Rhinolophus ferrumequinum: one gene and its partner. The protein of the gene in region 1 purifies or fractionates together with the protein of each later gene. This does not show direct contact. Links are inferred from orthologs where the notes say so. Each region holds a gene or a part of one and is shown on either strand. Other genes may lie near its edges. The genes, in order: MECP2 and KPNA3.

Evidence for each region.
Region 2: the proteins of MECP2 (region 1) and KPNA3 purify together in Homo sapiens (affinity purification with mass spectrometry; 3 studies listed by BioGRID and IntAct, counting the BioPlex papers as one, with this or other methods). This does not show direct contact. The link is inferred for Rhinolophus ferrumequinum from reciprocal best matches to the Homo sapiens genes MECP2 and KPNA3.

What each region holds. Positions count from the first base shown.
Region 1 is NC_046284.1:6,360,823-6,376,695, reverse strand, and holds the start of MECP2 (methyl-CpG-binding protein 2), read right to left. Parts: upstream 7,009-15,873; 5' UTR 6,914-7,008; coding exon 6,852-6,913; intron 1,939-6,851; exon of another isoform or gene 1,841-1,938; coding exon of another isoform or gene 1,815-1,840; intron 1-1,814. UniProt on the Homo sapiens protein: Chromosomal protein that binds to methylated DNA. It can bind specifically to a single methyl-CpG pair. It is not influenced by sequences flanking the methyl-CpGs.
Region 2 is NC_046287.1:87,813,956-87,829,597, reverse strand, and holds the start of KPNA3 (importin subunit alpha-4), read right to left. Parts: upstream 5,678-15,642; 5' UTR 5,663-5,677; coding exon 5,607-5,662; exon of another isoform or gene 5,593-5,606; intron 1-5,592. UniProt on the Homo sapiens protein: Functions in nuclear protein import as an adapter protein for nuclear receptor KPNB1. Binds specifically and directly to substrates containing either a simple or bipartite NLS motif.

The DNA of each region.
Region 1 (15,873 bases):
GATGCTGAATACGTATAATACTATCCTTGTTTTGTTAAAAATACAAAAGGTGCATGTTTGTATAGCCTGAGAAGAAGATTCGGAAGGCTTTAGGTTAAGCTATGAACTAACAGTGGTTACTCTGGGTAGTGGGCGCAGAGAGTAACAGGGAGCTTTCACTTTTTTACTTGATATACTTTAAAAAGGTTTGAATTTTCCACAAAAGCATGTATTATTTTTATAATTTCTTTAAAAGGAAAAGAAGAAAAATAAGAAGATACAAGCACTTATCTACTAAAGACAGGTTCTGTCCTTTGAGAATTTCCTTCCAAGTTCCTTGAAGCTCAAATGGCCATGTCGTTCCCATTCATAAATAATAAGAGGTATTTTAAAAAACATCTCTTCTGTATTTCTTAGAAGAAATTGTATAGAGTCATCATGGCCTGTTTTATAAAATCCATTCGTGATCTTAGAAAAAGACTATTAAAAACCTTAACCACCCCCCAGGCCTACTATCTACCAGAAGAAACCCATTCACTGTCCATATTACATGTAGTCCACACAATTTCTGAGACAATGCACAAAGCGCCAGCCACACAACTCCCACCAGCATAAATACTTGGCATACAAAGAACGTCCTGTCAGCAGGGCCCAGGGTACATCCCGCGGCAAAAGGGAATGACAATTTGAGTCACAGGATCACGAGTGAAACCAAATTTGGGACTTGGAGGCAGTGCAATGCTCCTCCCTTCCGTCCACACCTTCTCTTCTCCTCCCCCCGAACCCTGCCCCTCACGGAGTCCCTAAGTCAGTTATCTGTTATGTCCACACAGCTTTAGACTGAGGTGTCAGAAACCACTAGAGAGACACAACAAAGTGTTACTTGGGAGTCTCAGCTGGAATCGCAATGGCAGCATATGGGTAAGCTCACATTTTTTCCTCAGGAAAAGAAATGGAAAAATTCAATGAGAATGTTCTGCCTTAACACATGGAATGGTTGAAAATCCAGGTGTCAAAACAACAAATGTGGAGTGACCACTGATTGTTTTTAAAAGCTTGAGATATTGAGCCTGACAGTTGAGAAATGAAAGAACCACTCATTTTACAAAATTAAAATCCACACAATGGCACCAAAGTAGCCAAAAGTGCGGCCAATAAAGCACCTGAGTGTCAGACCTCGAATGGCTTGGATCCCCAGCGTTTCAAAAGGCATTCATTCTGCTCTAAGAGTCTCAAGAGCCAGACGTGCGTCTGGGTGCTGCTCTCTGTAGTGCCCGTGGGAGGAGTGCAGCAAGCACATGCCATTAGCCATGGGCTCCACTGTTCTGTGACAGCTTTCAGGAGGCCATCGTTCTAGGGGACCACACACCGGTCCCCGGATCTGAAAGTGCGTGGTACCACTGCTCACTAACGGTGACCAGGAAGTTATTTACCCAAAACGAAAGCAAACAAAGCGCTCCGCTGAAGACCACTGGGCCACAGCAGCAGCGGCAGGTGAAGAGCTCAGTCAAAGCACTCTCAGCTCAGCTGACCTGCTTCAAGGTGAACTGAAGTTGCAGATCACCAGTTCCGGCTCTAATCTGACGCCCGCCCCCAGATCACGCTGCGGCTACCAAGTAACCCTACCCAAACTGACCTTTCAGGGCTCAGGGAAGTGACTTTTTTTTATTATATGGCACAGTTTGGCACAGTTATGTCTTTAGTCTTTGGGGTACTTTTATACTGTCCAAGAGTAGTATATCTTGTTTTTTTTTCCTTTTTTTTTTTTTTTTTTTTTAAAAACAGATGGCCAAACCAGGACATATACTAAAAAAAAAAAAAGGAAGGTTACTTACCTGAGCCCTAACATTCCAGCTACCATGGAATCCTGTTGGAGCTGGTCTACAGAAGCAAGATGTATTCTGGGGAGTCACATGTCACATCAAAGCAGGAACTGGTGAGTCTGTATTTTTATGGAGCCTAAAACAAAGAAAATCGTAAGTTGAAAGCCCCCATTGTGCTGCACGACCTTTTTCCCAGGGCTATTTGGGACATTTTGAAGATAAACATATAGACAAAGTACTATGCTATTTCCCGGCTTACCTAGCTAGAAACAAAGGATAAACTGCAAATTACTGGCACATAACACACAGTGCTAAAATAAAGGAAAGATTCATGCATGTTAGAATCGACACTATGACAGGTCTTGCCTCCTCTGACGGACTCTGTGACACTATAAAGCGTACCGTTAGTGGTGATCTCGGATAAGTATTTCTTCTACCACGTCATACAGAAATACTCGGGGAGAGAATACATGTTCAAGAGAACATGCAGCATTAAAATGTCATCCCAAAAAGAACATGTGAAATCCAGAGGCAAAGTCTCCCTTCTTTATCAAGCAGCTGAAGCTGCAACGAGCCGCTGTAACATCGTGGAAAGGGGCTTTAACCCTGAGAGAAAGAAGCAGCACCAGTGGACACCAAGTGCCCCGGGAGATCCAAAGCCATCCTCCAAAAGTCTGTCTCAGAGCAATCACTTTTAAGCTTCTCAGATCAGCAAGTCGCCAAGTTCAACAGACTGAGTTATTAATCTGACAGTTTCTCTTTTGCTTTTGAGTACATATTCAAAAAGGACTTTTGTCATTACATTTTTCATCATCAAGATAACCACTATTTCCTTGTTAAAACCTAAACTGGCCTATATAAGCTAATCTCTAATACCTCGCTGGCCCAAGAGGAGCACTTTTATCTTTAGACTAAAAAAAGCCTAGCGTGTACAACTTAGAGAATATTCACACAAATAATTACTTGTGTAATCAAACTCAGAGGAAGGGCAACACCAACCAAGTCTTTTACTTACAGCTGGTCTATAACGAGCAGGATAGTTCCTAGAATTATCTACTGAGGTGCAGTGAGGCCTTATAATTCTCTTAAACAGTCGAGTCACAGAATGCTTTGAAATCCCAAAGTCAAGGTAACAGTGTTACTCAGTTAGCCATTAGGTGGGTGCAAAAGTAACTGCAGTTTTTGCAACTATTCTTAACCTTTTAAACCACAATTACTTTTGCACCAACTTAATATATAATAAAAATCATACTGGTCTCCTGGCTGGGAGGCCCTGGAAAAGCCACAGCTTTTCATAGCCACAGTTGTTTTTCACTTGTAAACTGACGGAGCTGGACTAAGGTTCCTTCCAACTCTGAAAGTTTAAGATCTCTGATTAACTCAAGGAGTTTATGGAGAAGTAAAAGAGCCAGCGAAAGAGAGCAGTTAGGTGAAAACCCAATAAAGTAGTGATTTGCAGGTCCATATATATAACAGCCCCGGTTCTTAGGCAAGGAAGAGAAGTGACCACTTCCTCAGGCTTGCTCCCGAGTCCAGACTTCTGCAGTAACAGCAAAACAGCTACAGTGAGGACACATCCATATGCCAGCAGACCCAACACAGGTGTGCCTTGAAAAAGCTGTAAAGGCCAAGGCCTCTAATGGAATGGCCACCGCCTTCTCCTGGTATAGGAGTGGGGGTGCCCTGCCTGCCCCCAAATTCCCATTTCCATTCAGATCCCCTACACACCTATCTACCATCAAAGTGGTAGAACCAAGTATTTAAGCAATAGCATGCAAATCAAGTTTTCAATAAGTTCAAAGGTTCCTTGCAAGAGAAAGGCAGAAGAGGGTACATAAAGGCAGAAGAGCGCAACCTTTGTGTGAGTCCAAGGAAGAGGAACCCATGTACGTGTGTCCTAACCAAAACAAGGGAGAAGCACAGTGGTGACAATGGCAGTTTGCCCAGAGAGGGCTGTTACAGAAGCACTGAGGACAAGGTCCTTCCGTTGGAGTGACAGTAATACTCTACCCAAGAAAAACGGTTGTGTCTGTTGGCCACAGGAGGCTGGTCTGCACGCATGTCACCATAACAGAGGGCAGTGGAAACAAGCAGGTGTCCTGCCACACTCCCTGCAACTCGGCGCCAGTCTAGGGCTGTTCTTTTACCCCCCGTGCGTTTAAAACACTAGTTACTACAAATGTCAAACATTTTCTGTTATTCTCTCACGGACTCTCAGGCAGCCTTCCAACAAACTGCTCTGAGCCAATTAAAAGATTTCTTCTGATATTCGTTGTTAGAAAAGATGACTGGTTGCAAGACACATCATTTATCATGCAAACAGTCCCAGGCAGGTACCTTAGCAGCGAAAACGGGCCTGAGACGGGAACCAACAATTTTAACGCTGCTCTTCTTTATTGTAAGTTAAAGAAGAGAGTTTCTCATTTGATCTCCACGTGGGGGAAGGAGTATTTGGGTGGGGGGCAACATCATATGGGACTCATCTAGCCAGCTGTGCTGTCCAACTCCACAGCTCGCCTCCGTACCCCACTAGATCCGGCCACTCAGCGGCAGGGCAGGCAGGGAAACAATGGCTCTGACTGGAAATTACAAATAGAATGCAAAACTGTATTCTAACCCCCACCCCACCCCCCAGTACACAAACAGCCCAAAAGTTGGGAGTACGGTTTGACGGCATCATGCTTTGCCAGGTGAAACAAAGACCTGGTACTCGGTTTAAAGCATTCCAGGCAAATTTGTAACAGTAAGAAATAGAACAGCATGATAGGCCAATATGAGCAAGAAAGCCATAGAAGGTCTCTTCAAGCTGTTAGGACATGCTTACTTCACACACCACCAGGAACTTCGCAGATAAACTATATTCTGGAAGCTACCTGTGCTGTTTAAAGGGCTAGGGGTATGACAAACAGCTGGCTGGAGGGCATCTGAAGAGGCAAACACATTGCCAACGACGGCAAAACAAAGCAAAGCCCTTGTCCAGTGACATCTCAGGTTCAGATGTACAAACCTTGGAATCTTTGTCAAGTGAGGCTTGCGTGTCTGTGTTCTGGACGGGATGTACCTCAGTGACAGGCCACTTAGCTGACATGTACGAATGGGTGCTCTGTGGCGACTTACTTAATCAACTGTACTTCTACTAGATTGATTGTGCCCTTTAAAGTTCTGACATGTGTGGGTAAGGAAATAAAAGTGTTTTCTAGGCTTCCCCACTGGGATTTGAAGTGCAAGTCCTAAAAAGCCCACAAATAAGCCCATTTCCCCGAAATCCCTGGGGGAAATTCCCAGAAGACCTAAAAAAATCCAGACCCTGTATTTTCAATAAGGATCTAGCATATTTCAAGAGACTCAAGAGGCCAGGCTCAATCTCACTGTTAACTGCAATTACTGAGATCCAGATGAAAATTCCAGCCATGAAACCCAAATTTCTCCTCTAGAGTACTAACTGCCATTAACAATGAATTTTACTACCAAGGCCTGACTACGCTTCGTTTTTCTAGCATGACCAAATGCCTGTAACTTGGGAGAGTCCTACCAAGTCTAAACTACTTCGCATCATCACACGCCGGAAGTCTAAGCCACTTAGCATCAGCGCACGCCGGTAGGGATGGTTCCAGGATCACCAACCACCCCCTGAATTTGATCCTACCGTCTCACAACTTGGGGTACTGATCCCACACAGCAGACACAACATGTGAATGGCTCCACAGAGCCCATTCCTGTTCCTGGAAAAATAACCAGAAGCACACATCTGCCTGACCATGAGTCAGGAATATCAATTTTGTGGTTGAGCCCATTTCTGCTGTGACCAATCCACACGGAACACACAACAGAAACGACTGCCACAGAGGTATTCCAGAGCAAGCTTCCCCCTCTCCGAGCCATACTTAGCAATATCGCAAAGGGTCTCTCCTCTGTGAGAGCACTCTTTTTAGACTCTTCACAATGACCTTAAGTTTTCAGCGCAAAACCACAGACACATTGCCACACCATGTAAAAGTCACCTGAGTTTCAGTGTGGGCGAGTCAGGCATAACCAAACTAAAAAGAAAATAAACTTTCAGAGACAATTGACAGGAACCACAGCGATGCGATGAACTTGCCCCATATGGTACTGGTGATCTAGAGCAGGACGCGTCCAGGACTACGGGAGCCCGTTACATACGGTGTCCCACTCCACTTATGTAACTGGAAGATCGCCGGCGGAGGGGGGAGGATGGGAGGACGCTCATATTTCTGAGGCCACCGCAACCCCAAAGACCCTGGAGGCGCACTCCCACTGAAGAGCCTCAGGTGCTGCCGGACAAACAGTCCCCTATCCACGGCTCCCGATGGGAACTAGAACAGCCTCTTTCGGATGAGTTGTGGGACCAGGAACACAATGTCTAGTCCCTTTTGTGGGTGGACAATAAATTCCCACCTACTTGTTCCTGCTGGATGGGAAAGGAGATGGTGGACCGACTCGCTCGCAATGGGGGCAGAAAGTCACGGAATGGGCGAGAAGGAGGGGGAGGCAGAGCCTGAAGATGGGGGGTGAGAGCGCAGGAGCCCTTGTGGCGCACTCTCCCGACGGGAGGCGGACTGCGCACGCGCGCCGGTGGGGGGGGCCGAGTAACGGGAGAGGGGGCGCGCGAGGGAGGGAGAGGGGAGAGCGCGATCCAGGGAGAGGCTGGGGCCGCGGGCGCGCGACGGCGCCGCGGGCCCGAAGCCCCGAGAAGGGCACGACGCGCGCGCAGCCCAGACAAGCGAAGCCCCAGCGACAGCGGCGCCCGTGGGGCCGGGGGCCGGGATGCGCGCTGAAGGCGGGAGAGAGCGGGGCGCCAGGCGAAGGTGGCCCGGGGAGGCCGGGGCGAGGACGGTCACCCGCAAGTGCGGGTGACGGGCCGAGGGGGGAGCCGTCACCGGCGGCGGCGGGAGGGGGAGGGTAAAGAGGAGGGACGCCATCCGCCAGCCGTGTCGTCCGACCCCGCGGGCCCCTCCCGCGCCACGTCCCGCCCCTACCCCCCGCCCCTCGGCAAGGGTCCCCGCCCGCGGCCGCGGTGGCCCCACTCACAGTCTCTCCTCCTCGCCTCCTCCTCCTCCTCCGCTTGGCGCGGCAGCGGCGGCGGCGGCCATTTTCCGGACGGCTTTTACCACAGCCCTCTCTCCGAGAGGAGGGAGCGCGCGCGCCGCCGACGCCGGGACTCCGCACGGTCGACGTCGCGCCCCGCCCTCCCGGCCGGACTGCGCGCAGCTGCACCTGCGCGCCCGCGTCCCGCCCCCGGCGCTGCCGCGAGCCCGTCTGCCATTGGGTGCGGCGATCGGGGCGGGGCGGGTCCTCCGCGGCGGAGCCACCAATTGGCGATAGTTTGTGTCCATTCTGGCCAGGGAAAAGGGGGCGGACCCCCTGCCCAGCTGCCGATTGGCTGCCGTTGGCCGTCATTTGGGAAAAAGAGGCGGCTTGGGCACTGAGGGGCTGGTTTAGTGGGAGGAATTTGAATATTAAGGATTAATGGGCCCTTGCGGATGCTGGGGCAAGTGAAGGCCTAGCCTTCGCACTCCTGTTTGCGCGCGGCCCTCCTGGGCGGTTGATGCGCTGTCCGCAAACACACCAAGTAAGCTGCAATAAGTGTTTCACTGCACCTGCATTTTCTTATTGTCACCACCTTCAGTAGAAGCAACAAAGTTGCCTGCCCTGGAGCCTGACGTTCCAGCTGAAAGACCTTGGTTTAAGAGGCCTATCCATTGCATTCTTTCATCTGAGCCTGCCACGAGCCAGACTCTCATAGGGGCAGGGAATAAACTGACAACAAATCACAGCTCTGGCCTTCGTGAAACTGTGGTGGGGGAAAAGGGGACATGACAAGGCTGCATGAGACCCGTCATTGTTGGATCAGATGGTTTGGTGGAGGTGTGAAGAAGGCAGTGGAAGCACAGAGGAAGCAGCACTAAGCTCTACCTGGAGGGGAAAGGGAAGATTTCCTAGAAGAGGTGACTTGGGAGCTAAGAGCCAGCAATTCTGTTTTGAAAAAATAAGAGTATAAGAAAAGTTTTAGTCAGTGGGGTGTTCAAGATAAGACTGCTTGACAAGGCGAACTTACTCTGATTCCAGCCATCCTCCAATTCATCAAATGCTCCTTGTACAAGTCCTGTGATTAACAAGGAATCTTCTAATTCTGATTTGGCTCCCCCCCCCACCGCCATTCATTTACTAAACAGCTGCTATATGCCAGGCACTGTTCCAGGCTCTGGAAGCACAGAACTGAATAAGACAGCAAACTAACATTCTTATGTGAAATATTCATACTAAACATACAAATAACTATGTAACATAATGTAACATAGTGATAAAGGCTTTGAGGTAGATAAAACAAGGGTGAATAGGTGCTATTTAGATATCCACAGGCTTTTGCCTTCATTTTATTCCCCCATGTAGATATCTGGGGAGAGAACATTTCAGAAAAGTAAAAAGGCCCTGAGGAGAGACTATGCCCAGCGTGTTAGGGACTAACAAAGAAGCTTATGTGGCTAGAGAGGGATGGAGTCACTATGGGAAATGGGAGCTTATTCTGAGCTGAGAAGCCCTTGGAGAATTTTGAACTGGGAGTTGACACCATCAAATCTATGTTGTAGGTGCAGTGTGGAGAACTATCCATGCTGGGACAAAACTAGGAGCAAGAGCCCAGTCAGGAGCTCCTGACAACAATCTAGGAGAGGTAAGAGTGGATTTAACTAGGATGGTAGCAGTGGAGGTTCTGAAAAGTTGTGAGATTCAAGCCATGTTTTCAAAATCAGGCAGAAAGGATTGGCTGTAGGGTATAAAGACAGAAGAAACAAGTATGATTCCTGAGTTTTTGTCCTGAGCAACTGAGTAAATGGGTGCCTTTCACCACGATTGGGCTCCCCTGTAGAAAACGCACGTTTTTATAGGTACAGATCAAGAATTCTGTTTTGGCCATGTTAAGCTTAGAGTGCCTATTAGACGTGCAAGTGGAGCTGTTGAGCAGGCTCTTGGGTCAACAAGCAGTCAACAAGTCAACAAGCTGAATATTTAACTCAAGAAGCTATAAAAGGAACAACATAGTAAAAATGGAGAAAATAGAAGAAAAATAACAATGAGCAGAAATTGATGAAGCAGAAACAAGTGATAGATTGAGTACATCAAAAGCTGATTCTTCGACAAGCTGAAAAACAAAAGCCAACCCTCTAAGAAGTGACATGTAAGGAGAGAAGAGACCAGCCCCTTATAATAAAAATGAAAAGGAGCCACAGCCTACAGATAGAATAGATTATACAATAGATGGTAGATAAATTGGAAAATATAAACAAAATGAATAAATTCCTAGAAAAGCACAGCTTACCAAAATTGACTCTAGAAACAAAACCTGGATAGACCCTCGATAACCACAAAGGAATTGATTATGTATTTTAAAAATCTCTCCCCCCAAAAAAAATAATAAAACAAGCTCAGAGAGTTTTACAGACGAGTTCTACCAAATCTTTAATGAGTGGGTAATTCCAATCATAAACAGAAAAAAAAATGAAGAAATCTCTCCAAACTTGTGAAACTAATATAACTATTATAACGAGCGAATAACAGCATGATACTGGATGTGGAAATAGATGTAAAACTTCTAGACAAATAAACTGAATCTGGCGGTATATAATAATATAACCAAGTTGAGTTTTATCCTAAGAATGCAAGGATGGTTTAAAATTAGAAAATCAACTTTAACTAATTTAAGGGGAACAAATTATATGATTATTTCAATAGATGCAGAAAAAGCATTTGATAAAATTCAACAGCCACTTATGATAAAAAAAAACCCCAACAACTTAGAGAACTATGAATAGAAGGGAACTTTCTTGATCTAATCAAAGGTATCTATCAAAAAAAACTTAGAACAAACATTGTATTTAATGGTGTGAAGTAGAAACAAAGCAAGAAACAGAACAAGATCTACAGGGCAACATCACTTGTGTAAAATAAAACACGTGTGCTTCTCCTTTCATTCTCTTTTAAACTTCATCCTTGGAGTTCACAGCAAGGAGAAAGACCAATTAATTCCAAGTTGATTCCCTGCTTGTTAGAATGCAGACATAGAGATCCAGCCAAGAGCTGGGAAATTTAATGGGGGAAAAACATTCAACTTACTCTAGCTACAAAAATTATAAAGCAGTTGGGAACAAACGTCATAAGAAATGCCAAAACACCTACATTAAAAAACACAATAAAGATGTCAATTCTTCACAAATTAATCTGGAAATTCTTTGCCTGAATCAAAATCCAGGAGTTTTTATATACTATAACAAGTTAATGCTAGGTTGGGAAGAGTAAGTGTACAAGGCTAGAAGTCAAGACATTTTTGAAAGAAAAAAAACCAATGGAGAGCGTCTAGGGTCTTGCTAAATCCCTTAGTTTGAATAAACAGGACTTAAATGGTACAATTTCACTCTCGCCATTGAAAAGTAGAAAAATATACTGGAGTGTAAAGTATTTACTAGTGAATTAAAAATGGGCCATTTAAAAAATGGGACTGTAGAAGATAAAAACCAGGAAAACGTCATAGAGATAGCAACCACGACAGAAAACCAACAACCAGAAGGATTTTTTCGATATGGAAGATAGAGTTCAAACTTCTCCATCTGTCTAAAAATCCCTTCGGCTAATAGAAAATATATATTTTCATGAGAAGGGTAAAACAGACTGCACAAAATTTTAGAACATCCCAGATGATATCACAAAAAATAAGTAAATAAAAACTACAAATTTGTTTCAAACACTATGGGACATTTCCTAAAGTTGCTTATACATTAGACCCCTCAAAAAAAAAAAAACAATCTCAGTAAATTCCGAAATGTAGAAATCCTGCAGTTCAATCTCTGGCAACAATACAATAAAATTAAAACTTAGGAACAAGAGAATGGGCAAAAGTAAAACAAAACAAAACAAAACAAAACAAAAAAACACTCTCCATTTGGAACTTTTAAAACAGGCTTCAAAATAACTCTTTGGTTAAAGAGGAAACAAAAACTAAAATTATAAACTCTTCAGCAGTGACCAACAATGAGAGCCATACACATTAAAACCTATGCTGTGTGGCCAAAATGGTCATCTAGAAAAATTAATAACCTTAAGTACATTTATTAGAAAATAGATGAGAAATGAATTGATTCTGATACATCATGCTTGCACTCATGTGCGTGCGCATATACACAGATATACAAACACGGTTTTCCTTCTTTACCCTTAGAAACTTACCGCAAGAAAAGTATTGATTAACAGAAAGGAATAAACCCATCAGAGTGAAGAGAATGTGGTGAGGATAGGAAGTTATCCTCGATGGACAGATTTCAACATTCATTTTGGAAAGCAGATGAGAATTAGTTGATGGATAAAACAGGCAGGAAAAATCCAGCCTAAAATTGACAAGGGAACTACAGAGGAAGTGGGAGCCAGTTTATCAGATATAACACCAGAGAGTAGGCTCCGAATCAGCAGGCATATGGTGGAAGGCAATAGAATTAAATGGGACTGAACACTTGGGGATTGATTGAAGGGCCCAATACAGAATGACTGCACCAGTTGGAACCTCCTCTCCTTCAACAGACAGCTGAGGGGACAACCGGTGTAAACCTGCAGCGAAAATACCTGACAGCTCTCTAATGAAATTGAATGAAATGTCTGTAGAGAGCTAGGGCTTCCAGCATGGGTATTGGTAACCCCTGAACAATTTTCTCCTCATTCCAGCATTTGTGGGATATAAACTCTGTTCCTCAGCTCCCTACCCTACACAAAAGAGTCATAGCAGGAAAATGGAACTATTTGCCCTAAAGCAGAATAAATCCACAATAATTATCCAGTCCTTCTTTATTAAATATTAACCAACCACTAGGGATCATCATAAATTTGAATAAGGCCTGCAACATTAAAAATAGTCAAGTGTAACCTATAGGGGGAAAATGAACTTGGAGAAATCCCAGAAAATGCAGGGAACATATGGGGAAAAAATTAATTTGATTAGCTTATTCAGAGACCTGACAGAAAATATTGCATCCAAAAGACAAGAACAGAATATTGTGTAAAAGGAGTGGGAAACAAGAAAGAGTTAATGGAGGGGCTAGCCCCGTGGCTCAGGCGGTTGGAGCTCCGTGCTCCTAACTCTGAAGGCTGCTGGTTCAATTCCCACATGGGCCAGTGGGCTCTCAACCACAAGGTCGCCAGTTTGATTCCTTGAGTCCCGCAAGGGATGGTGGGCTGTGCCCCCTGCAACTAGCAACGGCAACTGGACCTGGAGCTGAGCTGCACCCTCCACAACTAAGACTGAAAAGACAACAACTTGAAGTTGAACGGCACCCTCCACAACTAAGATTGAAAGGACAACAACTTGACTTGGAAAAAAGTCCTGGAAGTAGACACTATTCCCCCAATAAAGTCTTGTTCCCCTTCCCCAATAAAATCTTAAAAAAAAAAAGAATTAGTGGAAATTAAATGAGTATTGAAATTCCAATTTCAATAGAAATATTGAAAGATAAAACCAAAGAAGTCTCCCAGAAAACAAAACAAAACAATACAGACAAAAAGTATGAGAGAAAATATTAGGACTATGAAGAGTGATCTAAGAAGTCCAGAAAGCAACTAACAAGAATTTTTGAAAGGTAAAACCCAGAAAAAGGAATAGGAATAAAAATAAACAGTATCAGACTTCATAACAACACTGGATGATAAAAGATAATAGAACAACAATTAAAAAATAATAATAGGATAATGCTTTCAAAATTCCAAGAGAAAATGATTTTCAATTTAGGATTCTACACCAGCCAAAATACCCACCAAGTGTGACAATGGAATAAAACATTTTTAGATATGCAAGAACTAAGAAAATTTACCTCTCAGATATACTTTCTTAGGAAGCTACTTGAGGATGTTCTCCAGCAAAACAAAGGTGTAAGCCAAGAAAAAAGAAGATGTGGGATCCACAACACAGTGGATCTAATCCAGGAGAGCAGTGACAGGAAATAACAGGAATGCCAACTGGGCAGAAGGGCTGATTGGCAATCAATCCAGATTGGACTAAGAGAATGGCAGGCTCTGGGAGAAAGGACTCCAAGAATTTATTTATTTTTTTTAAGTGTGTGTGTATGTGAACTCAACATATTAGATGGTATGATTGGGAGTCTAAAGAAAACTGAATATGATGGTAATTAGTACAAGAAAATAAGGAAAAGAATTAGAAATAGCAAGGGGGAGAAAGTACTTCACAAGAAAGTTATGATCAAAATAAGAAGCCAGGTAAAATATATTATAATTTTACCAAGTGATAGTGTGTAAGAAAAGAGAATCCACTGGACCTTGATGTTAAGAAAATTCTCTTTTCAAACGGTCCAGAGATCATCACACTAGATTTATAAGAAGGAAATATAATCCTAGCATGCCTCTTCTTGATCTGGCATTACAAAATATTTACAGGAACATCATAATGTTAATTTTTGTCTTTGGTTTTCAACGTTTAGAGTCAACCCATGCACAAAACATGGAGGAATAGGTTTTTGTTACAGGATAGGACATAGCCCTCTTCCCCTTTTGTGTAGTAAAGGGTTAACTTAGCAGGCCTGGGTGTTCCTGAGGGTGGTCTTGGGAACCCCTGACACACCATATTTGATATTGATGCTGTATTTAGTTCTTTGTGATTTAAAACAATACACTCAAACCTCTTGTTCCATTAACTTTCAATAGTAACGTATCCTTGATCACTTGGTGTCAACTACACTTTACTTTCACGTTGTCAGAGTTAACATTTACATCCCATTGTGGTAAAGATGGAAATAGAATCACTAAGGGAGAGGTGAGAGAGTGGAGGAAGGGGGAACAAAAGCATATTGGGGTTTGAAGGGGCCCAATAAATAATATCCATTTTCTCCCTGAGTGTCATGGAACTTGACGATATGATTCTAAGGTTCTTCAGAGTAAATGCACAAGATGGGCCAAAAAAAATGTTGACTCAAGGGAAGACTTGTCTTACCAGCTATCCAAAGACACTCTGAAAAGACATTGATGTAAACAGTGCAGCTTTGGTGCCTAAAGGGACAAATGATCACTGAGTAGAGTCCCGAAGAAACCCAGATACAGTCTGGGCAGATCCCCCTTCTGCCTTGTCAGTAGAGCCCTGGATATACTAGTCTGGCTCCCACTCTTTTCTTGTATGATTCAGGAAGAAATCCTGCTGTGGTGAAGTGTGGTGGCTTGGTGACCTAGTTCTGGCCAATGAGAAGTTCAGGCAAATCCTCCAGGGGCTTCTGGGAAGCCGCAGCCCTTCTGCTCCTCCTGGACTGTGTTGGGTCTCAAGGTGACATCTGAATTGGTGGCAGTAGCTCAATCGGGCATCAGGGGTCTCTAGGAGAATTTTCTCTGTGCATAAGGATTCCCCTGCTGTAACTAGTACTTTTTCTGTTGCCTGGATCGCAAGTTGCTTATGACCCCGGGGGGCTTAAGGCCACCTCTGTGAGGTCTTGCGAGATTAGAGACTTCGTCAGTGTCTGATGTTATTTCCCAGTTTGGGGTTTTAACTTTGTGTTCTTTTTGTCTTCCCCTTGCTTAGGTTGGCTAATGTTTTATCTTCTTGTCTTATTTTTGGGTTCTCAAAGAACCAGTTTCGGAATTGATTTATTAGTTATCTGGTTTCTCTGTGTTCCAACTAGTAGGTACTTTCTGTTCGCATCATCCTTGTTTTTCAGATATTCTGAAATTTTTTCTTGGATTTTTTTCTTTTTTCTTTTTTTTTCTTTTTTTTAACCAAAGGCTTTTCTTTTAAGGGAGTTCTAAATTTTAAAGGTAGGCTTTTGTTTTCTTTTCTTTTCCATTTTTGTGTTAACATTCTACTCCAAGAATCCGTTCTAAATGTCGAACTATTACATTGTTGTGTATGTCTGAAACTAATTTTTTTAAAAAAGAATGCATTCTATATTATTTTCTCTTCTATTTTTTGAAATTTCTTGAGGACTCTTTCCTGCTTAATGTCTGGCGAGTGGTTCATTCATCACCTGCCTCTGCCATGATGCCGGCATGGGCTGTTCCTTCTTGTGGTCTCAAAATGGCTATTTTATCCATTAGGGTCCTCCCAGGAAAACAGAAAGCACTTCCATCGAGAACACTGAATGCCAGGAAAGAGGCCCCTAGGACCACTGGGAGTGTGATGGGGGTTAGTGAGGCAGCTTGAGGATCACGGGCAGGAAGTTGCTGCCGCCCCCAGGCTGGAGGGACGCGGGGAGAAGACGTAGAATCATGGAGGGCCTCAGTGGGAACTGCAGCTGCTGCTCCTGGGGCAGAGGGAGAGAGGCAATACTCTGGCTGCTGCCCTCCTCCACTCTCTAATCTCTTGCACCCGCTTCTCATGGTCAATCCCACCCTGAAACCAGAGGAGCCAGGAGCCTGGGAAAGGCCGGTAGTGAGGCCTTACTCTGCAGGGTGAGGGAAAGGTGAGGGATGGATCTGTGGACAAACAGGCCTGGGGCAGGCCCATCTATGGACTCTCTACTTTGAAAGACTAGGGAATTAGCAGACTTATCCTCCTTGTCCCCTCCCCTCCTTCCCTGCCCTCTCCTCCTCCAAACTTTTGTTTATATGATTACTTTTAGTTCTTCTAGTGGTTTTACTTATACCTTTAAATAACACATTGAAACTTTTACTACTTCGTTGGTCAACATTAGACCAGGTCTATTGATAAGAGCAATTTTGAGTAAAGGATAAGGAAATCAGCCTACTGGAACTTTCTCCCACCTATTCTCCCTCCACCCCTGATTTCATTCTCTGAGTTATTATTTCTGTATCTTCACAGTTCCGGACATTTCCATTCCATTTTGGAAGAGCAGCTCCACAGATGCTTGGCTTTTTCACGGTTCTTGATCTTCATGGCTTTAATGCTTGTCATTCTTCAGAACGCTGTTCCTCCATGGGTTATTAGACTTTGCCATCAAGCATTTTGGCATAGGTTGCAGAATGTTTCCTTCCAGATAATCACTCATTTCCAAAACGGGATAATTCCACTTGAACCAGTTACTGAAAACACCCCTCGGCCTACCAAACCCTGTGGGCCCAA
Region 2 (15,642 bases), on another chromosome or scaffold:
AATTCAAGAAAAGATCATTACAGTATATCTGCCATATGACATATAGATTCCTGAAAATTTTCAGGAAGAAAGAGGGAAATACATCAAGACAGTTGGCGCCATAAGCACCTTTATGACAGAACGTGCGGTTGGACGAGGCCGAGAGGCAGAATACGGGTGAATGGGCAACGCACACACTGCTGGGCTTGCTGTGTTCAACTGTGTTTCAATACTTCAACTGTGTCTGCCTTCAAATGCTGTTACTTGGGAGTGCGAAACAGTTAACATGCTGGTAAGAATCAAACATGAACATGAATTTTGCATTAACTAAAATGATTCCTCTTTACCAGTCAATTATGAATTAGTTCACGTTACAGAAATACATTATAGCAAAAAGAGATTGTCACAGGAGGGCTAGGCAACAGTATCAATGCCTTGGAGTCAACACGGAAAGAAACAATATGGTACTTTCGCTCCCAAATGCAGAGTGCTTTCAAGTATATTCTCTAGTCTCACTTCTCAAAGAGTATTCAATTTTATGTATCGGTCACTAAATGACCGAATGTCCAAACCCTCAGTGAGATTCTTCAGAGCCAATATACTTTAACAGCTATTCACACATAGAATTTGTGGCACGTCACAGCAACTGATCCCAAGACAAAGGGAAATTTACTTAGGACAGCAATAAATACAGAAGGAAAAGAAAAGGAACTGATAGAACTAAGTATGTTATTAGTCAACCAAGAAAGGCCCTATGGAGAGCTTCTGAAGGGTGTTTTTGAATGACATGATGTGGCAGAATTGTAATCTTGGTGTTCCAGAGATACACAAAGGACTCTGAATTGAGAGAGGGTTTGAGAGAGTGAGCCCCACTAAACCGATAGCAAAAGACAGTATATAGGAGAACAGCATGTACCATCATGGAGGGGAAACCGTGTTGGTTACTTCACCATCTCAAGTACTTTACCATGGCTGGCACAAAGGAGACGTAAGGAAGGGTGGTTGGTGAGACAGAAAAGGTAGGGCCTTTTGTGGAATTATGTGCGGCATGCTAAGAACTTTTAATTTTATCCTGAAGGCAATGGGAATGATCTTACCAGGAATGTTACACGAAAAGATTTCAGGAAGATCAATCCACGAGATACACTGGGGTAGGACGATACCAGATAGGAAAACCGGACACACTATCACGCTTCCATGGGTGACAATGACAGGGGTCTACACTAGGGCAGTGGTAGTCAGGTTGGTGACAGAGGTGAAAATATGATGGCTCTTCAGATGCCTAATACAGAAAAGTGACGGGGGAAAGGAGGGAGTCAAGGACAAAGTTTTAAGCTTGAATCATTTGATAGTACCACTTACCAACAGAGGTTCCAGAGAGAAGAAAGTTTGGTAGTGCTAGCTGAATTTGCAAATGAGAAAATATATAAAAATACCTACTATTAGAGACGAAAGCATAAAGTTTAAGCATTAAGCCCAAGAGTATGGGTTACTATTTTTCATTGAAACCAACTAACTGGCTCTCCTTACTAATAAGGAAAGTTTGTAAGAATAAAAAGAAGAAAAAAAAAGGCAATAAATCAAATGATAAATAGGATGTCAAAAATTTTTATAAGCAAGGTTTTAAAATACCAAAACAGGGTTTTCTGTGATGTAGTCAAGACTTCTTAAATATTTTCCCCATTAATTAACTTGCAGATGTGCTTCATACAGGTCGTCTTAGGCTCCACTCAGTGGAGACAGTACAGCACAGGGAGCAGTTCTGGCTTTAGTGTCATGCTCCTTCACTGTAAGTCTAGGCTCTGACACTTAACTCCCCTGTGACTTAGGGCCAGGTACTTCAGAATTGTAGGCCTCAAGTTTCTTCAGCAGTACATGCGGATAATAATAGTACCTACTTCATAGGATTATTGTGAGGACTGAATAAGTAATACATATAAAGCACTTGAGGTACACTGTAAACACTCACTAAGTGTTAAGATTTTTAAAATAATAATTATAGTTACTGTTACTGATGAAAATGTCACATCCTTGAGGTATACAGGTGCAAGAAAAAGAAAAGCTGACCTGGATGGCAGTTACCTGAATGTTTGAGTTGTAAGTATTCATTAAATGGAACATTTCTGCTTTGTGTACTTTTCTATAAATAATTTGAAGTTTTAAATGTTTTTTAAAAGGAAAAAAGCTTAAGAACCAATGCCTTACATGAAAATAAAATTATTTTCACGATGTGTCCCCTAGTTTTAGCTACAAAATCCACTTCTCTTCCCCAAGCTCCAAACTGCTATCAGTGCTAATGACTCCCTCCCCTACCTCTATCCGTCACCCTCAGGACAGCCTTTATCCCCTTTGTCTCCTGTGAGCTTCACACAGAAGAGGACGAGAAAGGAAGAGGAGGAGATGCAAATCCTCATTCCAAGTTATGACCATGACTATCCCCAGTCTCAGTTTTTTGGAAAATTCCTCATTGCATACAGGATAACAGCTCCAATGGCTCCAGAATTAATTCTACATTTATTATTGCCACTACCTTTTTCCATTGCTCTAATCATGTTACACCTTCTAACTCTCCTCTGAAATAAATTCCTACAGCTCTCCCGATCAAGAAGTTTCCAAGCAACTCTTTGCTACAGTCATATTCTCAGACTACCACGGGCCATCTGAAGTCTCATCTCTTCACTCCTTAACCTAATCTCTCTTCTTTTTCACCTGGATCTTTATTCACTAATCTCTCATGTGCCGTTCAAGTTTGGTACATATTTCCTGTAAAATTCACCAACCTCTCTTCTATGAAGCCATTCCCGACTGAATATGAAATTACTTTCTCAACCCTCTCCCCACTCACAATTCTCCGACTTAACTCTATATATTTTTTTTTTTAGAAAATGTTATTTATTATATGTAAGCAGCACATAGCAACCTTTGTCTATCCTATATGTGAAAGGTAAAAACGGTACCTCAGCAAAGTATACCTCACTGTTTGGAAACAGCCTAATAATCAGAACTACTTAGTCACAGAGCTACATTGTAGTGTAAGTTTCTAATGTAGTCTAGTTTCTAATGGGTAAGACTAAATTAGGTGTGGTATCTAGTCTTAGCTATACCTAAACCCACAGTAAAGGAACTTGATCAGCTTCAACCGCAGTTCACCCTTCAGTCACATCTCTAGCACTCCCTTCTCTATCAGCAGTCCTACTGCGTTCTCCTGGTCTCAATTACTGCTCCCTCAAGTCTGGAATGCCTCTTCCTCGCCCTCTCCCTTTCTCTGGCCAACTGTCTTTCATCCTTCAGGATCTACTCACTCCCATTCATCCACTAGGAATCAACCAGAACTTCTCCCTTGACTGCTCAACACCAAGTTAGGATCTTCTTACGCATTCTCAGAATATACTTAGTGATGTACTGTATTGTAATTATCAGTTTACTTTTCTATCACTTTTACTGAACTATAAACTCCTTGAGGTACAGACTGAAATTTATTCCCTTTTGTATCCCCAAGACCTGACTGTATTAGATACCCAATAGACAATTAGTGAATGAATGTTCATACCCACTCTGGGACCTTGTGCAGGCTACACAGGCATGCTTGAGTTTGCCCATCTAAAGTACTTTCCTCCTATAAAGTGGGTATAATGCTATACCTAGCTCATAAAATTGTTATTAGGATTAAATGAGGTATCATGAAGCTCTCAGTAGTGTCTATCACATAGAACTACCATTTGAATGTCTGCTATTTCATGCCTTAGTTACTCCAATATATGCTGGGAAATGTAATGTTGTTGTGACCAACATTTTCAGGCTAAAAGGTTTAGCAATCATGCCTGTAGAAGTCATTGGTTACATTCTGGTCATCAGCAAATATTTATTATACACCTATTACGTGCAGGAGTCCTTACTAGGTATCACTGAGATCCCAGAACACAATAGAGGCAAATAATAAGACAAAAACCTGTACTAATATCCAAGAGAGGGAAGAATGTTATTAGTTCTTTTGTACAAACAATATGGGTATTTGTCAGACTACATAAGTTCTGCTTTATAATAGGGGAAAGCTTCAAGAACAATTACTGATAGCAAAAGTTCAAAATTAACTGCTATCATCACGTGGACTAATAATTGGAGGCAGTTCCAAAATTTCTTGTTGCTATTCCTAAATTTCACTTTTGCTTAGAAGTATTTTTCACACACACACACACAAACACTTAACCATGACCAGAAGACAGATGACCTCTAGTTGTCTCATTCAAATGGGAATTCCACAGTATTTCCTTAGGTTTTTCCATTTAGTATTAATTGTGTAGCTCTGGAAAAATGGCCTGAGTTTTTTTTTGTTTTTCTACAAAACAGAACGCTGGATGGTAAATTTTCCCCAACACTTCTCTTTAAGAGGATAAAATGTACACTTCTTATTCACACTGTCCCTTTAACAAGAACTACAAAACTGCAAACCATGTCACCTGGTATTCGAAAAGGAGCTTGTGGACTTAAAACCACTTTTCCCTTAACAAATTCAGAGGTCAGAGTCCCAGTGAAGTTTGTGCATTATACTACGTTGCTTTTAGTGGCTGCAGAGAGACCTCTAGCGCTGCCTCAATAAGCCGAGTTTGCAAATAGTACCTGCTAATGTCACCTTAATGAGACAATGGCAACATGCTGTGTAGCAACGAACTGAGTGACCACATTAATGTTTACAGTTTTGCAACCACATGGAAATTCTACCAGCTTGGAGCAAGAGATATTTACACGGCCGTATGAACCTATGTATCCAATTTATTTCAGTAAAACATGTCAAGGAAATTATCCAGTGCACACCCCCACTACAAGTAAGAAATGCTAAGAAAACAGGTCCGGTGAGCGGAGGTCGGAACAACGTCGCTTCCAAAGCCTCAACACAATAGATGGTAAACTATTGTCCACCTTCAGCTTGCTTCCAAATGCCCGCAGTAACAGGAGTGTGGGCTGGAACAGCTCAGCACGACTGGTCCAAAGGACAGCACTGGAATATAAGAAAACGGTCCTGGCGCATCCTACCCTCCCCCATCCACCACCCTCAAACAAGTCAGTCACCCGGCTGGTCCCCACCCCCCTCTGCGGGCCGCCACCGCCCGCCTGGGCCCGGCTGGCAGAAAGTAGGCGCGGAGACCGGCAGAGACAGGCTCCATGTGCGGCAGCGCGGGAGGCACCAAGGAGGCTGCGCCGGCGGAGGTTTCACCGGCAACCGGTGCTAGCTGCGGCCGCCCCTTCGGCGGCGCGATCGACAGACCTGGGCGGCAGCATCCCCGGCCCGCGAGGCCCTAGCCGCGGACCCCGCCTCAGCTCCACATCCCTTCCTCACAGACAGCAGGCCGCGCCCGCGTGACGGGGCCGAAAACCCCGGCATTTCCCGGTCCCCCGCGCCGGCAGCTTCGGAGGGTGGCTACAGCCGGCCCGCGTATCCGTCGCCCGCTCCGCCCAGCCCTGGGCCGCGCTGATGGGAGGCGGCGGCCAACTCCGACCCACCGCGAGCCGGCGAGAGCCAGCCCGGCGCCGGCCCCCCGCCCCTTCCCGCCACCGCGGGGCCGGCGCGGCCAGACGGGCGAGCCGGGCGGGCCCAGACCGCGGAAGCACACTCACTTCCACATCGCGGCCCCTTGTTCTTAAAGCTCTTGATGCGGTGGTTCTCCAAGCCGGGGTTCTCGGCCATGGTTGCGCGCGGCTCCAGCGGCGGCTACTCCTGCGGCTGCGGCGGCGGCGGCGAGTCTCGGTGCGGGAGGGGGAGGAGGGGGAGCGCGGGAGGGGGAAGGGAGGGGGAGGGGGAGAGGAGAGCACGTTCCGTGACGCCTCCGAGCGCGAGGTGGCAGCAGCGCCGGGGGAGGCGCTGGCCGACTGCCGGGCGGGGCGGGAACCGCGCTGAAGAACCGCGCGCTCCCGGGTTGGCTGGGGTCACGTGCCCAGGGTCGCCCCGGGCCTGGACGCTCGCCCTGCTGTAAGTGCCAGGGGTTTTCGGGATGACCCCCCGCCCCCCACAGCAAGGCCTCCCCACAACCCCTCAGTGCTACAAGTCTTGTGCCAGCAATGGAGCCAGACTTGGCGGCTTTTACTGCCCCGCCCCAAACCCCGAGCTGTGGACGCAAACTACAGTTCCCAACATGCCAGGCTCCGGCGGTCTAATGCTCCTGGCCTTGACAGAACCTGAAGGCCGGGAATCCTAAGCGCGCGGCTTTCCGCGCGGCGCGCCCGGAGAGCCCGGGCCGCAAAGCTCCGCCCCAAAGACCGCCTTTGGGCGGGGGAAGTGGGAGGAGCTTCCCCGGAGATTGGGCATCTTGTGCCCTATTGGGAGAGAGGGGGCGGGGCTTCTCTGGAGTCTCCTGAAATAGCATCCACCCTCAATGGCTGGTCTTTTGCCCTGCTTTGGTTTTATAAATAGCTTTTATTTCCACCTGACATGTACACATGTATGTATATATGTTTTGTATGTGTGTGTTACCTGGCATCCGCACGGGAATTGAGTTCAGTGAGAAGCAGGGGCATTGGCTGGTTTATTGCTGAATCCCTCGCGTCGAAACAGTGCTTGGCTCGTGCATACTCAATAAATACTTTGAACAAATTAGTGTTCTAGCGCCTATCGGTTTCTTCATCATCCTTCAAGCCCGGTTCTCCAACTTTCACTCTGGCAGCTCCTGCATTTCAGTGCCCCCAACACCTCTTGTTCTGCCACCACACGTAGTCTTAGCTTTCAGGAAGCAGTCAAGCCCTGGTCGGCAGACTCCCATCTGGCTTCTCTGTTTAGTGTCATAGGAGGGCCGGTCAAGGGAAATTTGGATCCATACTACTAATAGAGAGTTGCTTTCTGGAGCAGGTGAGCTTCTTTGGTTATATGTGAAAGAATTCAGTTTCAGAATCTCTAGCAGAGAGAAGCAGGTATTTCGATGGTTATAATATAATTCAATTGACACTGGGGTTATTCAAAGATTGGTAGAAACATAACCATAAAGAGGTTAAAGAAGACATTCTTTCAAAGCAAAGGGGCCTTAAAGAGCCAGAGGTCCAGGGGTCATGAATTCAGAGTCATTTGGTGGCTGAACTTTGGGACATTTGTTTTATGAGTGGTGGAGCGTGGCCTGTTGATAGACACAGTCCCATTTAAAGGCTTCAGACCACTGTTGCCATGTCGGACTGTGGGCCAGTCTTGCCAAGCTCCAATTTTTCAAGGAAAACCAAAGCTGAGTTATTTTTTTTCATTTTTAAATGTCGATTCACATTTCTTTTCTGCATTTCACTGAATAAGTCACTTGAGAACTCCAGGCCCTCACTATGAAATATCTGATCCCAGTCCAACCGCTCGTTTAAAGGGGAGAATACACACACACACACCTAAAGCTTAGAATAAATGGATTAGCATTACTTCAACTATAGTTCTTAAGGCAATTAAAGTTGTGTGTTTGAAGCTCTTCCCAAACGGGAGAGAAAAACTTCCAGACTGTTGTTCAATCTCTATTATAACTTATCAAGGCATTCTTTTTTCAGGTTATTTTACCCCCTCTACCACTTCTCTTCATCCTATTTGCTGTTATCCAGTGTGTAAGTGTTTCATCATTTTAGAGTTTTAGACATATTTAGTGAGCACTTACCAGATGTCAGTCATTGCCCTCACACCAGGATATATTTGTAAACAAGACAGCCTGGTTCCTGCCTCTGCATAGCTTTGTGTCTATCAGAGTAGACAGGCAATAAAACGAGTTCTCACCCCAAAAGTGTGGTGAGTGTCAAGAAACAGGAAGGAAGCTCAAGACTCATAGCAAGGAGATCTTTGTAACATGATGATTCCTGTGACTCCTAACATAGGAGGATAAGACTGCAAATGGATGTCTATATACTTGTATCACATATTTAAGTATTTAGAAGTTACAGGTCAAGCTTACAAAGTCTAATTTTTTTTTTGACATTGACAAATGAATGTTCTTTACAACCTGGATGTCTGGGTTTGAATTTAAATTTCCTGACTTCTTGGACTTCTGCTTCAGGGTGTGGTGGTACAAAGAGGCCTGGAAGCCACCTCCCAGCCCACTTTTTTGTTCCCCTTCCGTCTCCTGGCTCCATCCCACACTGGAATAGACCTTAAGAACATATATGTATACCCTTACCCACAAGGTTCATGTCCTGCCTCTCGCTACCAAAGCTCTATTTCCATCCCCCTCTCTGCCTCAAGAGATGCCCCTTGGCCATTGCTCAGGCCTGGAGTGTGCAAAGCGGTAGCCTCATGAGCCCCCAGGAAGATGGACTCGAGAAAGCGGTCTGGGAAGATCCTGAAAGCAGGCTTGACCATTTGAGCAGGAATCCCAGGGCCCCGGTACCCAGAGCTGGGCCTTGAGGCACAGGTTCTAGTGAATGTGACCTGGTGGCCCCATGAACTCCCCACGGGGTGGGGTACATCAGGAGAGAGCCAGAGTGAAGTCCTCTAAAGGGTAGGGTCAAGATCAGGGGCCCCTCTTGCCTGGGTCTAATGCAATAACTTTTACTCTTTGCCATTTTCCCTAGTGACTTCAACATACACACATCTGCTACTTTGGCCTCAGAGTCTCCCCATATTCTTAACTCCACCAAATTTCTACCACTTGTAGCTCCCACCAGGCTTTGGAGGCCTTAATGTCTGAGAAATGACACCTCCAGTGACTCAGGTTTGGGCTTCTCATTGTTAGCAACCATCCCTTTTCCCTCACTCTAGTCTTCACCTTTGCCCTAAAACTTCTGACAACTGTTCTAAATGGAGTTTTCCATATATATACATATATATATATATATATATATATATATATATATATATATATATATATATATAATTTTTCTAATCCACCATCTTGGACCTCCTCTCCCAAACATATTTTGAGTGTCCATCACATGCTAAGCATTGTATTCATTAGGCACTTCTATTAAGGGACAGGGGAGTGCTGAGCAGAGCAGAAACAGAAAGGAAGGGCCCTCTGAGTGGTCAAACTCTTCTTCCTCTGACTCACTAAACCCACCTTCCCAGCGGACAGGCAAGTGGCAGTATGCAGAGAAGGCAACAAAATCAACAGATGCCAAAAGGAGCTCATGATTTTCCTCCCCAGTCAGCTCCTTCTGCAAATTCACCAACTCAGTTAATAGCCTAACCATTCTTCCAGGGACTCCACTCAAGCTTGGAGCCATCTTTACTGCCGCCCTCTCTCTCAACTCCCTCACCTAGTCTCCATATTAATTCGCCATTCAACGCTCCCAGAATCCAGCTTTCTTCCCATGCCCCTCACAAGTCTAGTTAATGCCTCCTAACCGATTCCCTTGCTTCCTCTATCCTCTCCACAAAAATCTGATTCACCTCTCCAGATCTTCCTGATTTTATCTCTTCTCCTCATATTCAATATATCTCTTCCCCTCCACCATTGTCTGTCAAATCATTTCTAAATCCTCGGTCTGATAGTTAAGATTATGTGTGACCCAGCCACAGTGCAATACACTCTTCTTATTTCTGATTCCCCCACACATAGCTTGTGCTTTATCTTACGTGGTCTATCACCTTTCCCAAATATGTCCTAACCTTTCCAGCCTTCATAGCTTTCCCGTTTGATTTACCTAGAAAGCCCTGGCCCTATCTTCCTGTCAAAATCGGTCCCTCTTTAAATACTCAGGCCATGAGGTCACCTTCTCCGTGAAGCTTTCCCAGCACGGTACAGTGGAGGGACCTACAGAATCTGAACACTCAGACCCTACGGCTGACTTCCTACCATAGCAAGCCCAGGCAAGTCATTCCCTGAATTGTCGTCGTATCTACAAATGAGAAATTTGAATCGCTGGGTTATTGTGAAAATCAAGTTTTAAAATGCATGTAAAAGTGCTTTGAAATTACTATATTAATATTAGTTGTATCTTTCCAACCAGGATATCTTTTTCTTCTGAACCTCAGAAGAACTTACCTACTGTTTTGTATTCCTGCAATTTATGTACAGTCTTTTATCTCTCACTCACCTACAAACCCTTGAAATGGCTTGTACACATTTGTATTCCCCAGCCTTGAATAACTGGATCCAACATATGTTTTCTGAATGAACTGCTTCCTTCCCTCATGATCACGTTTTGGCTATTCATGACTGTCTAAGAGCATCTGAAGCAAAAGGCAAGCACAAAAAATTGAAGAAAATGGCATTCAAGTTCATCAACCCAACTACCTAGCAGTGCTCCTAAAAACTTGGGTGATAAATAAATCTAAATAATAAGAGTTTTCATTTACTGAATACCTACTATGTGCCAGATGTTTACATACATTATCTCTAATTCTCCAGGGAACGCTGCCTGGTTGGGATGGTCATCTCCATCTCTCTCTGGGACAGGTGGGGCTTGAGGCTCTGGTTTGAAGGCCTGGAAGGTTCTGTGATGCCAACAGGAGCAATGGGAGCAACAAGTCCAAAGAAAGACAAGTGGTTTCTAGTGTGGCCAATGTCTTAGACAGTGGTGGTGAAGATCTCCAGCTTCCCCAAAGAACTAATACAGCCCTTAGGGGTTCTAGGAAAGCAAATTCTCCTCCCCAAGGGCTGTCCCCTCTCCAGGGAGCATCAGCCATGTAAATAGTTGTGCCCAGCAGAGCAACCATCTCATGACCTATGACAGTCAGTAGCAGTAGACACAGCATTGTGGCAGTAAGATGAAAAGTCAGAGAGGAAGAACCTGATAAACTCTCAGAAATAACTGGGGACAGCTAGAGGAGGGCCAGTGTCTGGCCGTTGAACACTTATTAGTAATACAGATAAGGTGACTTCATTTTGTAGTAATGGGCTGACCTAGCCTAGGACACACACATTATACTTCCAATATCATTCTCAAATAATCAGAATATAATAAAATGAACAATATTAAAATTGTAGTAAGAATACTTTAGTTATAAAAAGCATAATTCAATAATTCAGAATATACTTAGAGTACATTGCTATGTCTCAAGGTCATGATCCTGGACCTTAGTTATAACTTTACAATATTCTAGATATTGAACTATATGGTATCCTAAAGATGAGCACTGTCTTGGAAGTTTAGTGACTTGCTGGTTCTTTAGTAACAAGCGATGTGTCCTTGAACAGGTTATTTTGCCTTCTAAGTCACAAGTGCCTCACCTAGAGAATGAGCAGGTTGGACTGGGTGATCTCTGTGTCTCCTTCCTCAGAGGTAATTCTACGAATCTCTGAAATTGTCTAGCCAGCCCAGCAGCATCCCTTTTCCTAGCTCTCTCTATTTCACAAATTAGAAATCCAAAGATGGTAATAATCATAACTGCCAGAGCGACTAAAAGCTGAGTGTCCAGTCCCTCACGGCCCTTCAGATTTTCCAGAGAATCCCACTATGCACGACACGCCAGGTCTGCCCTCTCTCAAAGGCATGAGGCCACCAAATCACTCCCTAACCAAAGTTTCACTCTCTCAGAGTTATTCATCTCAGAGAAGAAATACTTTATTCACATTAAGGTCTAAACAACCTTATTACGCCATGTGAACTCCAGTGGATGGAATGTCTGGTGTATCTAACCTATTATTAACATCCGTCAGCTCCTCCCAACACCAGAAAACAAAACACAGCCCTTTGGCATCCAATTGCAGCTGATCCCTGCTGGAAGTTATTTTGAGAAAACTAGACTTAATGGGAAGTGACTTCTTTGAATGAATACCATACTTGGTATCTGTTTCCGTGTCATCTTCTCCAATAACCATGAGCATCCAGAGGCAAGTATTTGTGTCTGACTCACCATTGTATCGCTGTGTCTACAGTGGTACTTGGTACCTAGAGGAGCCGCAATGTATGTTGGATAGATGAATAAATACCTAAACTCAAACTCATATAGAGAAGAAACATTAAACTGACCAGTTGGGGGGGAATCCATTAAAATGGTATAGTAAAACTGAGGAGCACATTTCTTCATGGCATAAAAAAAATTATGGTGAGGACAGGGATTATGGTTATAAAATAATAATAAAAATAATAATAACAATAATAATAAATAACTGTTGCATGTGCACATGTTCCAGGAGCTATGCTGAATTCTTACTTTGATTACTTCATTTAATTCTCACAATATTATCAGGTAGAATCTATTTTTATCCCCATTTAATAGATGAAGAGTGTGAGGCAAAAAAACATTAATTAACTTTTGCATGTTCAAGAGGAGACAGGGTCCAGAAAATCTGATTCCAGGAAAGTTGGTCCCCTGTTTGTAATTTGTTTTGCTCAGGGTAGATGCACAGAGATTGGGCAGGAGTAATTCTACAGCCTGGAGCTGGGGCGTCTTCAGGATCTGCAGTTTACCCATATCCTGCAGGACCTACCAGGTGCCCCATTCTGGCCCACGGCACATGGAAACAGCCTCTCGATCTAGTGTAAACAAAAGTTTCCACAGGAGGTGAAGCTATATTCAACTGTAAAAAAAAGAAGAAAAAGCCTAGAAAGGAAAATAGCCTACCAAGAAAGGAAGAATTAAACAAGTGTGGAAAGCTAATCTCTACTGAAAGGAGATTTTGCAGTCAAGTCAGCAGGGCTGGGCGATGACCTAGCCAGACAAACCACTAAATCAGAGGTCAGACAAAAAAGGGCCTATCATCTAGAGTTCTATTAAGTAGGCATCTGTGTATCGTTTGCATATCACTGTTTGTAGTAGACGTAGTCTGTTTATTAATATGAAGCATTAAAGATTCCAGCTTGTAAATATTCAACTCTAAAGGCATTCATGGAAAACAAGATAACCAGACATCTGAAAGTAGACATCAAAAAAATTGGTTAATTAGTTTGATTGTAAACGTACTCCTCTTCCCCTGCTACTTGAGGGATTTGCGATTCCCTATTTGAAAATGCCTAGAGAACTGAATCTTGTAGTAAGGATACTGTTTGGCACAATTTGTTTTTCCTTTTTTCAAATTGCTATGTCTCTTATAATCAACATTGCCAATGTATTAATAATCCCTAAGTAAAATATACAATAGAATTTTTCCAAAAGAAGTTTTTCATGCCTAAATTTTATGAGCCTCTTAACTTTGAGGTCTATCTTCCTTTAAATTCTGCAATTTAAATTAAGTTTGATTTGGATAAAATGTTTTTTTTTTCTCCAGCTGCTTCTTCATATTTTCTCTTTGATATATGCAGATATTCTACACATGAGATCATAGTGGCTTGAGTCTTTAGAGACCACACAATGTGATGTCCAACAGCTGTGCAGCCACTAGCCACATGTGGTTATTCAATTTTAATTTTAACTAAAATTAAAAATTGATTTCCCTAGCCACATTAGTCTTATGTCAAGTACTCAATAGCCACCATATTGTGGCTACCATATTGAACTGCAGAGATATAGAACATTACCACAGAAAGTCCTTGGGACAGCACTGCCTTAGAAAGGACAGAGGTTTAGCAATTCCCATCTCTTGATAGACTTGCGACCACAGGAATTTTCTTAAACTTTCAAAGCTTCAGTTATTTAAACAATAGAGATACAAATACCTACACCTATAAAGTAGTCAGTACAATGCCCTGCACATTTTAATTACTTAGTAAAACTATTATTCTTGCTTAGAGATAAAAAATTCAAGCTTCAGGGGCCAGCCCGGTGGCTCAAGCGGTTGGAGCACGTCCTCTCAACCACAAGGTTGCTAGTTGGACTCCCGCAAGGGATGGTGGGCTGCGGCCCCTGCAACTAACAATGACAACTGGACCTGGAGCTGAGCTGCGCCCTCCACAACTAAGATTGAAAGGACAACAACTTGACTTGGAAAAAAATCCTGGAAGTACACACTGTTCCCCAATAAAGTCCTGTTCCCCTTCCCCAATAAAATCTTTAAAAAACAAACATTCAAGCTTTGGAGACTCAAATTAGACAGCATAATAAATATTTTATTTATACCATGAGTACTCAATAAATCTTGCTGGCTACCCAAAAAGATTAAATTACATTTAAAATTAAAAAACATCATAGGACATTTACGTATTTTTGTTTCTTTATTTATATCGTTAGGAGAAAAACAACTTGAATTACCCTGGAGAAACCTTAGACTCAGCTGTTTAAACCCAAAAACTGACCCAGGAGATTTCTGATTCCCAAACCACACCTGAAATTTAAGTCAGGAACATGTTCAGTAAGTATATTTGTACAAGAAATATAGGTTTGACTTGCAGAGCAATGAGGCAAAATTCATATTCCCCCCACCCTTGGAGATAAAACTTAACGCAAGTTACACATCCCAGAACTTTTGAAAGTGCTTAAACTTATCTAAGTATCTCTCCTGCCCCGCCCCCCCGCCCCCCCCCCCCCCCCCCCCCCGCCCCCCGCCCGTTTCAGATCAACATGGAGCCATTTGTAACAGCATCCCAAACTGAGAGAGCTGTGGCTCATGTGCCCACAGACTTTAATCCCTGCTACTCTCACAGAGGGACACATTGCAGTTAGGAATGCCAGCAGCCAGAGCCAAGATAATTCCAGACGCACAGAACGATTGTTCTATCAATCACAACTACACAAAACAACCCAAACAAAAATAATCAGAAGAAGCTATGAGTAAGCTACAAGTCACCATGATATGAATTGCTAACATCATATGTACTTGGAAATTCCAGTTTTTCTAGGCTTCTCAAAAAAAAAAAAAAAAAGAGAGAGAGAGAGAGAGAAGCAAGATTATGCATTGAGATGATACATAAGATAGAAGATAATACTTTCTCCTTACTATTCAAAGTCAGATTAAAAATACACTAATTAAAAAAAAAACATTTAGTTTGTCTCCTCCTTAAACCTTTAGTTGAGCTACTTAGACTTTCTTTCACACCAAAGAAGTACAAATAAAGAGAGTTATCTCTCTTGGAAGACTAGAGCCTAGTGATGGGAATATGGCTGAGGCAGGTGAAAATACATAGCAAAATGCTGGAAGAATTTTTTCTGATGCACAATATGAGCAGATACAGTCACTCACTGCCAAGCAAAAAATCTGAATCAAGCCAACCCCTGCCGTCTAAAATGGTCATAATTCTGAAAAAAATGTCTTCATTAGTAATCATTTGCTTACTGTAGAAATGTGAATAACGTAACTAACATTAATTGAGCATTTAACATGTTCTAAGCACAGTTCTTGAGTAATTCACATGCATTATTAACAACAACCCTACAAGGTAGGGAGATAATATCACCTCCCATCTTACAGATGAGTAGACTGAGGCACAGAGAGTTTAAATGACTTGCCCAAGGTCACACAGCTAATCAGTGTGATAGGCAGCATCCCAGCACAGGCAGTCTGAGTTCATTTTACACCCCTGCCTCTGTTGGCAGTTGCAACAGTGATGAACTTACATAAACAACAAATCCGTATTACACACATACCTACGATAATACACAAAGACTAATATCTTATAGCTATGGTTGTTTGGAGAAACCAGTGAAAAGGAAGAAACCCAGCCATTTGATTGGAGCCTATTATCATCATCAAACTCACTTCTTGGTTTTCAAAATCCCCAGTAGGAAGAGTGTCTCAGCTCTTTCTTCAGTAATTTTGAAAACTCAAGAGGTGAATCCTAGTGACTTCTTTAGCTTTAAATCGAACCACACCTGAAGTTGGAACAGTCCATGAACTTTTCTCTCTCCTTTTTTTCTAGTCATACTAATAAATAAATTCCCATTTTAAAAAACCTCTTTGA